2 linked regions of the Sus scrofa genome follow. The protein of the gene in region 2 interacts with the protein of the main gene of each other region in a biochemical or structural test. Links are inferred from orthologs where the notes say so. Each region holds a gene or a part of one and is shown on either strand. Other genes may lie near its edges. The genes, in order: ZFP36 and YWHAB.

What was found.
Region 1: the proteins of YWHAB (region 2) and ZFP36 form a complex in vitro, tested with the Homo sapiens proteins (2 studies listed by BioGRID). The link is inferred for Sus scrofa from reciprocal best matches to the Homo sapiens genes YWHAB and ZFP36.

Annotation. Positions count from the first base shown.
Region 1 is NC_010448.4:48,062,457-48,066,715, reverse strand, and holds ZFP36 (tristetraprolin), read right to left. Parts: upstream 2,985-4,259; 5' UTR 2,954-2,984; coding exon 2,930-2,953; intron 2,117-2,929; coding exon 1,160-2,116; 3' UTR 481-1,159; downstream 1-480. UniProt on the Homo sapiens protein: Zinc-finger RNA-binding protein that destabilizes several cytoplasmic AU-rich element (ARE)-containing mRNA transcripts by promoting their poly(A) tail removal or deadenylation, and hence provide a mechanism for attenuating protein synthesis.
Region 2 is NC_010459.5:47,311,493-47,315,297, reverse strand, and holds part of YWHAB (14-3-3 protein beta/alpha), read right to left. Parts: intron 2,979-3,805; 5' UTR 2,976-2,978; coding exon 2,676-2,975; intron 504-2,675; coding exon 380-503; intron 1-379. UniProt on the Homo sapiens protein: Adapter protein implicated in the regulation of a large spectrum of both general and specialized signaling pathways. Binds to a large number of partners, usually by recognition of a phosphoserine or phosphothreonine motif.

The sequences.
Region 1 (4,259 bases), on a different chromosome or scaffold from region 2:
CGGGCGGTGAGACCCCAGGACGCCCCAGCTTCCGGGGCCACCCCTCCCCCACCCGCCGCGCCCGCCCTGGGCTCGCGCCCCGGCACATTCCGTCCTCCCCACTCCGCCCTGCCCTCCTCCCTCGGGCCCGTAGGGACGGAAACATCCCGTCCCCGCCCGCGTCTGGCCGAGAGCTGGGTCAAAGAGCCCGGCGGGACAGGAGCGCCGGCGCCCCCCCACCCCCACCAACGCCCGGGAACTGGCTCTCCCGGTTTCTCCCGGGTGACCTCACCTGGCCCCGCCCTCTCAGGTGAACGGCCGGGGCAAGTGACGTCACTTCCTGCCAGGTAAGCGCCGCAGGCGGCTCAGCTCCAGGAAGGTTTGGAGGAGCTAAGGGCGGACTCTACCCCGCTTCTAAAAAGGTCCACACCCTCCTCCCCTCTCTGACCGCCTCTAGACCGCAGAAGAGCCAGGATTCCAACTTACAGATTTCTTTTATTTAAAAATTCCAAAAAACACAAAAATAAACTTTTAACAATATATTATTACTTAATATATTATTATAGTATACTTACTTATAACAATAATTATTCCATTGTTTCCAATATTACAAAAAAGAGGAAGAAAAATACAGGGAAGCAGACGACCCAATATATATAAATACTATAAAATCTATTAGAATAAATAAAGTCGTCATAAATAAAGGGCCCAAAGGCGAGGGCGGGAGAGCAGGGGGTTGACGCTGGCTTTGGCTACTTGCTTTTGGAGGGAAATTTGAGCACCAGGATACCCCCTCAGGGGAGGCTCCAGTAACCATCAAACACTGGCACCTCCGTGTCTAGGGAAAAGTGGAAGGGGGCAGAGGGGGGCTTATTATTCACAGCATTGGGCAGGGGAGAGGTGGGAGGAAGAGGGTTCACTGCCTCCCTCAGATTTGCTACATCTTTTTTTAAGACCCCAAACACTCCTCCCCCCTAATACCATGACCACCTGAGCTCACACACTGGGGACCTGCCCCAGCATGCGGTCAGGGGAGTGAGTTAATGCACTCTGGAAAGTGAGGGGAGCTACTTGATTAAGTCCCTCAGTTCTCCACAGCCCTGGGACCCCTTGTGGTGCCCACAGCACAAGAGAAATGGCCCCCTTAAGATCCAGCTCATCTGTACTGGGCAGGCACTTGTCACTCAGAAACAGAAATACGATTGAAGATGGGGAGTCTTCGGGGAACTGCAGTTGGCTGGGGTGGCCCCAAAACCCCGGCATCGAAGACAGGTGAATCGGATCCCCCCAGGCTGCTGCCACTGCTGGCATATTCGTCAGGATCAGATCCCAGGGAGTGTGCAGAGGGGCTCCGAGGCAGGCCACCCAAGGGCCCCCAGATGCTGCTGGGAGTGGCCCTTCGGCAGGACGGGCAACAGGCCGGGGTGGGGTCCCTTCGGGCCACAGGGGTCCCAGGGGCAGCAGAGAAGGCAGAAGGTGAAAGTGGAAGGTCCCCAGGTGGTGGTGGTGGGGAGCTGGAGGGCGAGAAGGAGCATGAGGACAGGGAAGGGCCTGCTAGGCCGGGTGGTGGTGGCGAGGTTCGGCGACCGGAGGGCAGGCCTGAGAAGCTGATACTCTGGCGCAGCACATGCGGGTGACCGGGGGCAGCCAGGTCTTCGCTGGGGTTGTGGATGAAGTGGCAGCGAGAGCCGTAGGGGCAGCGGCCCTGGAGGTAGAACTTGTGGCAGAGTTCCGTCTTGTACTTGGGGTGGCGGCTGGCCTGGCGCAGCTCGCCCAGGCCATGGGCAAACTGGCACTTGGCCCCATAGCGGCAGCGCCCGCTCTCTGAGAAAGTCCGACATAACTCAGTCTTGTAGCGGGAGGAGGTGGTGGGGGTCGAAGTTGGCGAGGTGGGTGAGGGCGACAGTTCAGGGCCTGGGCGGGGAGCCAAGGGTGCAAAGCCTGGGGGTGGGGGCACCCAGCCGCAGCTGCGACCTTCCACCAAGCTGGTGGAGCGACCAGGTAGGCGGGCAGCGACCCCAGCCGGGCTGGAATCGGATGAGTTGAGGCTCCACAGTCCCGCGGTGGCCCAGCCCGGGCTGGACTCAGTCTCTCCGTGGTCGGAGGATGGCAGGTCAGGGCTCAGCGACAGGAGGCTCTGTGGGAACAGGGATGGGTTAAGACACCGAAAATACAGGGTGACGCCCCGCCCCCAGCTGCAGAGCACCTAAAAGCTTGCCAGTCCGGTTTGTGGGTTCCTGGCTAGAACTCCACCCGCCCGCAGGAAAAAAATACGGGTTCCGGATCGCAAGAATCTCGATTCGGAGGTTCTGAGTTTATATTCGCGACTTAAGCTCATCCCGAGGGGCCCAGGAATCCCGGCTGCCCGGCAGGATCAAGTCAGGACACACACCGCTGTCTTCCAATTTTAAGCCTCTGGGCCTCTCGGGATCTGACTACACTCATCGGGTTCTCCAGTTTCACAAGTTGGAGACGCGAACAAAGTTAACCCAGGAGTGCGGACCTCTTGGGTTTTAGAGTTCCCAGAGTCGTCCTCTGGGTTAGGGAGTGGGGAAGCAGAAGTCGGCTTCCCCTCTCCGAGACTCTAGCCCCAGAAACGCCTCCGCGCAAAACCGCGCCCTCAGCAACTACTAGGGGTAAGCCAGGTGTGGGGCCATTTCCGCCTCCAGACAGCCCCAGCCTGAGAAAAGCCCTCCAGCTTTCCACTTCCGAAGGCCAGCCCACCCGTGTTTGGGCTGAGACCACAAAGTCACGGGCTCCATTTTCACCTCCAGAGGATCACACTGGTCTGAGAAGAGGCAGGATCCTCCCGGCCGGAGTGCGAAGCGCTAAAGAGCTTAGTTTGAGAAGGGAGCCAGAGTCCCGGGAGGGAGTTTGCGGCGCTAGAGGGTGAGACTTGAGAAAGGAGTCAGGCATGGGGACTCCGGGGTGCAAATCAGCGGGGGCTCACCTCGTAGATGGCGGTGAGATCCATGGCGGCGCAGAGGGCCGAAGGCTGAGGGGCCGGCCAAGAGTGGGAGCGCTGAAGTCAGGCTACAGCGGGGCCCGCACAGTGGCTGCATTTATTCAGCAGGAGGGGGCGTGGCCTCGAGAGGGGCGGGCCTGGGCGGGCGGGGCCAGGAGGGGCGCTTCCCGGACGCACCGCCCCAGCACAGCCCGCCCGGCCCAGGACCAGTCCCCTTCCGCCCGGCTGCGGGCCGGGACTTGCCTGATCCGGGTCCGCGGGCGATCGCGACCCCGCGGGGAGTGTGTGGGGTGAGGGGTGTCGGCCCAGTTTTCAAAGCTGGAGCCTGAGGCGCGGAGAAGGGAACTGGGACAGAGGTGGGGGCGGGGCAGGGCCCCTGGGGGAATTGACCGGGGCAGAGGCCAACGGACGGGGGCGGGGAGAGGCCCACTGAGTGCAAAAGACAGAAATGGAGGGAGGCAAAAAGACAAACACTGGGAGACAGACAGACACACACACACAGAGACGCACACAGAGGGGAGACGGGTACAGAGAGGGAGAGGGGGTAGAGAGAAGGAAGGTGGGGAGGCAGAGATAGAAAAGACGAGATATAGACGGTCCCAGACGGCAAATTCAGAGCAAGAAGTGGGGGGGGGGCACATAAAGAAACAGAGAAAAAGGGAGAAGGGAGGGGGGGAGAAATAAACATCCACAAACAGAAATTCTCAGGAGCAAGATGAAGAGACCAATAGGCCCGATGGAGAATTCTTTTGAGACCTGCCAGCCTGACATGGTCTCGCTCCCAAATTATCCAGGTCCCAAGACCTGTACCGCCCCACTCACGAGGGTAGGAGGAGCGCTGCCCCGACACCTGGCTGGAAAGGGGCCTCTTTCCCCAGTTCCAGGGCTTCTGTGACCTCTCACCCTCAAATATATAATGGCAATTCTAACCGCTACCTCTGGGTTAGGCATGAAAGTGCTTTACGTACATTAACTCAAGGAGGTATTATGCCCATTTTCTACACAAGGAAACCCAGGCACAGAGAGGCCAAGTTATTCTCCAATTAGTAAATGACAACAGCTTAATAACAGGGCCTTGAATTATGTTACGAGTTTGCACTCCGAGAAGCTCAAGATAGGAAAAGGTTGGAGATCTCTTGTTATGGTGGAGGGTTTTCTTGGTGGAAAGCCGTCTGGAGGTGGAAAAAGTGGGTCATCATCAGCTAATAGTCGGATGGGTCTCAAGAAAAAGGGACGTGCCTTGAGAGAACGCTAAATTTGCACAAATCACTCCCCCTATTGGCAAATTTTTTACTGTCAAGGGGTTGCCCTGCAT
Region 2 (3,805 bases):
TCAGTGGGTTAAGGATCCTGCATTTCCGTAAGCTGTGATGTAGGTCACAGACACAGCTCGGATCTGGAGTTGCTATGGCTGTGGGGTAGGCCGGCAGCTGTAGCTCCGATTCGATCCCTAGCCTGGGAACCTCCATATGCTGCGAATGCAGCTCTAAAAAGCTAAAAAATAAAAATAAAAGAGAACTACCAAATAATCCTTAAAATGAAGGACTCTTTAAATGCATCACTGCACCAGACTTCTCATGCCCTTCACATTTGCTCCTTAGATACAGCTGTCCAGCCCCAGGACCCCGTTCATCATCGGTCAGCACGGTGCTGTGGCTCTTTAAATTTCTGACTACAAAACAAAAACTTAAAAAAATAAAAAAGTTACTTACTTTGTTTATTGTCTCCAGACGCCACCTCAGAAAGATATCTAAAATAATCTCCTTTCATTTTCAAGTAGAACACCTTACTTTCTGGTTGTGTAGCATTGGGAATTAGGTATTTGTCCAACAGCTCCTAAAAAATGATTCATGTTCTGTTAAGAATCTGGAAATATTACTTACGAGATGTTCAAACTATGTTTGAGACTCAAGATTCACACTACCACTCCTAAATGTCTTTTTGGAAGTTTGAAAAAAACGTAATTTTTATCCAGAGCTTTTAAATGATTTTTAGCCCAGGTCATAACAGATGCCTGTATTCATTCATTAAAAATCACTCTGACCATTCATAAGGGGTTGATTAAAGTACAGCCACACAATGGAATGCTACAGAGGCATTAAAAACGAGGATGCAGAACTACACTGCTAACGTGGAAAGGCTCTCACAAACAAGTCTAAGTGGGAAAAAAAAAGGAGATCGTGAATACCATGCGAATCTAATTTAATATTAAAACACGTATGTGTACACGCACACAAACACCTAGGGGAAAAGTCTGGAAGGATATTTACCAAGATGTTAATGGTTTTCTAGGTGGTAGGATTAGAAGTGATTTTTCATTTCCTTATTTATTTATACTCTTCTGCCCTATGCTTTTTAAAACAATGAACTTATTTCTGTAATTAGAGGAGGTTAAAAAAAAAAAAAAAAAAACTTTCCATTTTGGGAAAAAAAAAAGAAGAAAGTTTAGAATTAGTCAGACCTGGGTAGAAATCCCTCCTCTGCCGCCAACTAACTGCATGACCCTGAACAAATGACCTCATCGCCCTGAGCCTCAGTTTCCTCGTCACGGCATGAGGAAGCCCAGAAGCCAGCTCCTAGAGCAGTCAGGAGAAGAAATGAGCTGAGGTTCAGAAAGCGCTTAACACGTTGCCTGGCACGTAGTAAGCACTCCAAAAGTAGCTAATACTATTATTAATAATAAATTCCTTTAAACATTTATGCTTACAACAAAAGCAGTTCTGAAGGAGTCCAAGCTTCGTATACAGAGCAATATTTTCGAAGAGTTGTTTTAGAATGTGGCATCCTGAAAAACTGGTTAAGAGGCAGTAAGTACCATGCTTTTCTTCACATTCTCTCAGATGCTCTTATAAGCTGGTCTACAGTTCAGGAATTAGGGAACTTTCTTTTCTTGCCTCTGGAATGCATGCCATACTTCATCTGAACACCAGATGGACCTAACATTCAGGAATTAGGGCACCATTAACAACCCCCCCCCAATTACCAACGGGCAACAAATTCAGCCACGACACTTACACCACCGAGAGTCTAACAGAAAAGAGCAGCTCAAGGCAAAAGCTTAGCTGTAAGGGGGTTTCATCAAAAGTGAGAGGATGCAGGGGGCAGTAGTCGTTTTAATATTCTTTGCAGACAGACAGGGTGTGACTCCTCATGGGTTAAGGATGAGGAGCACTGCCTGGTGGCTGACAAGCTCTATACTGGTTTTCAAAAGAAAGGTGTCATGGGCAGTGACTCGGAGAGGCAGCCAGCAGGGGAGGAGGCAGATCCACACGTGTGAATTCCTTTTCTCTTCAAAGCGGCCCTCACCGTTCATTTTTACCTGATTTCACCCGGAAGACAAAGAAAGGTGCCAGTGGGCTCAGGATGCGAGGGAAAGACAACATGGCCATGATTTGCTCTGGGATCCGCACCCTCCCTTCCAAGCCCAGGTGAGCGCGTGAGGAGTCAAGCATCTGCCTGAGGTGTACACAAAACACAGGGGAGAGAATCCCCCCCAGACCCCTTCGGATCTGCCTTTGGAACGCAGGCCCCACCTGACGGAGGCGCCCAACTTTCCAAAAGGACTTTCCACAGTGCAGGCCTGACGGGGAGAGGCCGGCGGGCAGTCAGCTCTCTGCTCCTCTCTCCCTGACTGGGGACGGCATCGCCACTCAGGCCAACACGGAGAACTGCCTCTCCGAGGCTGCACCCATCAAAAATCCTGCCTCTCTGGCCTCGATTTCTAAAGCAAAGCTGGAGGGATGTTGACCAAGTGCTCCTGTTCTTCAGGGGTCTCTGGAAGGGTAAGCAAAGTACCCCATGAGTGATGAGCAACCTCTGATCAGTAAGAGGTGAGAGGGGGGGAAAAAAATCACTTTAGATGCTTAAAAATGAGCTGCAAATGGTGTGCGGCTTTCCAGTACAGTCAGACACCTTTCTTTCGCTCCTGAGCTGTTTGAAGGTCTGCATGTGTACATTAAATGAATACTATCAGAAATCCTTTGTAGGACAGAAACGCTGGCCTCTTACCAGAACATCGTTACAGATGTCCTGCAGCTCTGCCTCGATCTTCTCACGGTACTCTTTGCCCATCTGCTGCTTCTTCTCGTTCCTCTCTGTTTTCTGCTCGATGCTGGAGATGACACGCCAGGAAGAACGGCGGGCACCGACTACGTTCTTGTAGGCGACGGAGAGCAGGTTTCTCTCCTCGTTGGAGAGTTCGTGCCCCTGCTCCGTGACTGCCTTCATGGCCGCGGCCATGTCATCATAGCGCTCAGCCTGCTCGGCGAGTTTGGCTTTCTGTACCAGCTCACTTTTATCCATGGTCATTCCCTAGACCAGGAGCAAGAGGGAGAGAAAGCAAATGTCAGGCTTCAGGGCCTGGGAGATGCACGTGCAAATCTTCTGACCCTTCCAGAAAGAAACATACCTAAATGGGGAACATTTCCTACCAACGTCCTCAATGGTATTGACCACGGGGCTTACAGGGTTAAGTGCTTTGCTCAGGTGCTTTTACTGTTTTGGTCATTTTCGTTTCCCAGCAGTCCTACTGGAGAGAGATGCTCACAATCCCTTTCCCCTTTTTCGAAGTAAAGAAATGGAGGTTCAGAGAAGGCCAGGGCTGTGATGTGCCCAAGGGTCCATACGAGGTGGGAAAGCCAGAGCTCAAACGCAGGTCTCTCTGTCTCTCAGCTGTTTCCTTCCACTCTCCTAAGCTGCCTCCTTAATACACACAGACTGCCTACATCATTAGAAACTTGTGTTAAATATATGTCCTTTTCTTCTGAGACTTGTCTGGTTTTGAGCAAAGGCCACAAGAGAACTCCAGCTTCAATCAATCTTAAAGCAAAAGACACAACTTTCAGGGTTCTATCAGGCAGGGCCTATCAAGCAGCAGGTACCTAGAAAACAGGAGCCATTTCTATTTTAGCTTCTGCAATTCACCAACTTGGTCACAAGGACACACTGTCCACAAGAGCACAGACCAAGGGCAGCAGATGTGGCTTTCTCTGGCACCCGCTCCGCTACTTACAAGTGGTATGACCTTGGTCAAATCACTCAGCCCCTGAAAGCTTCCGTTTCCTAACGGGAGAATAAGAACATTACAGACCCTCCCGGGGCGGCCGTGAGAGCAAGCGGCCTAATCCGGGGGAAGGCGC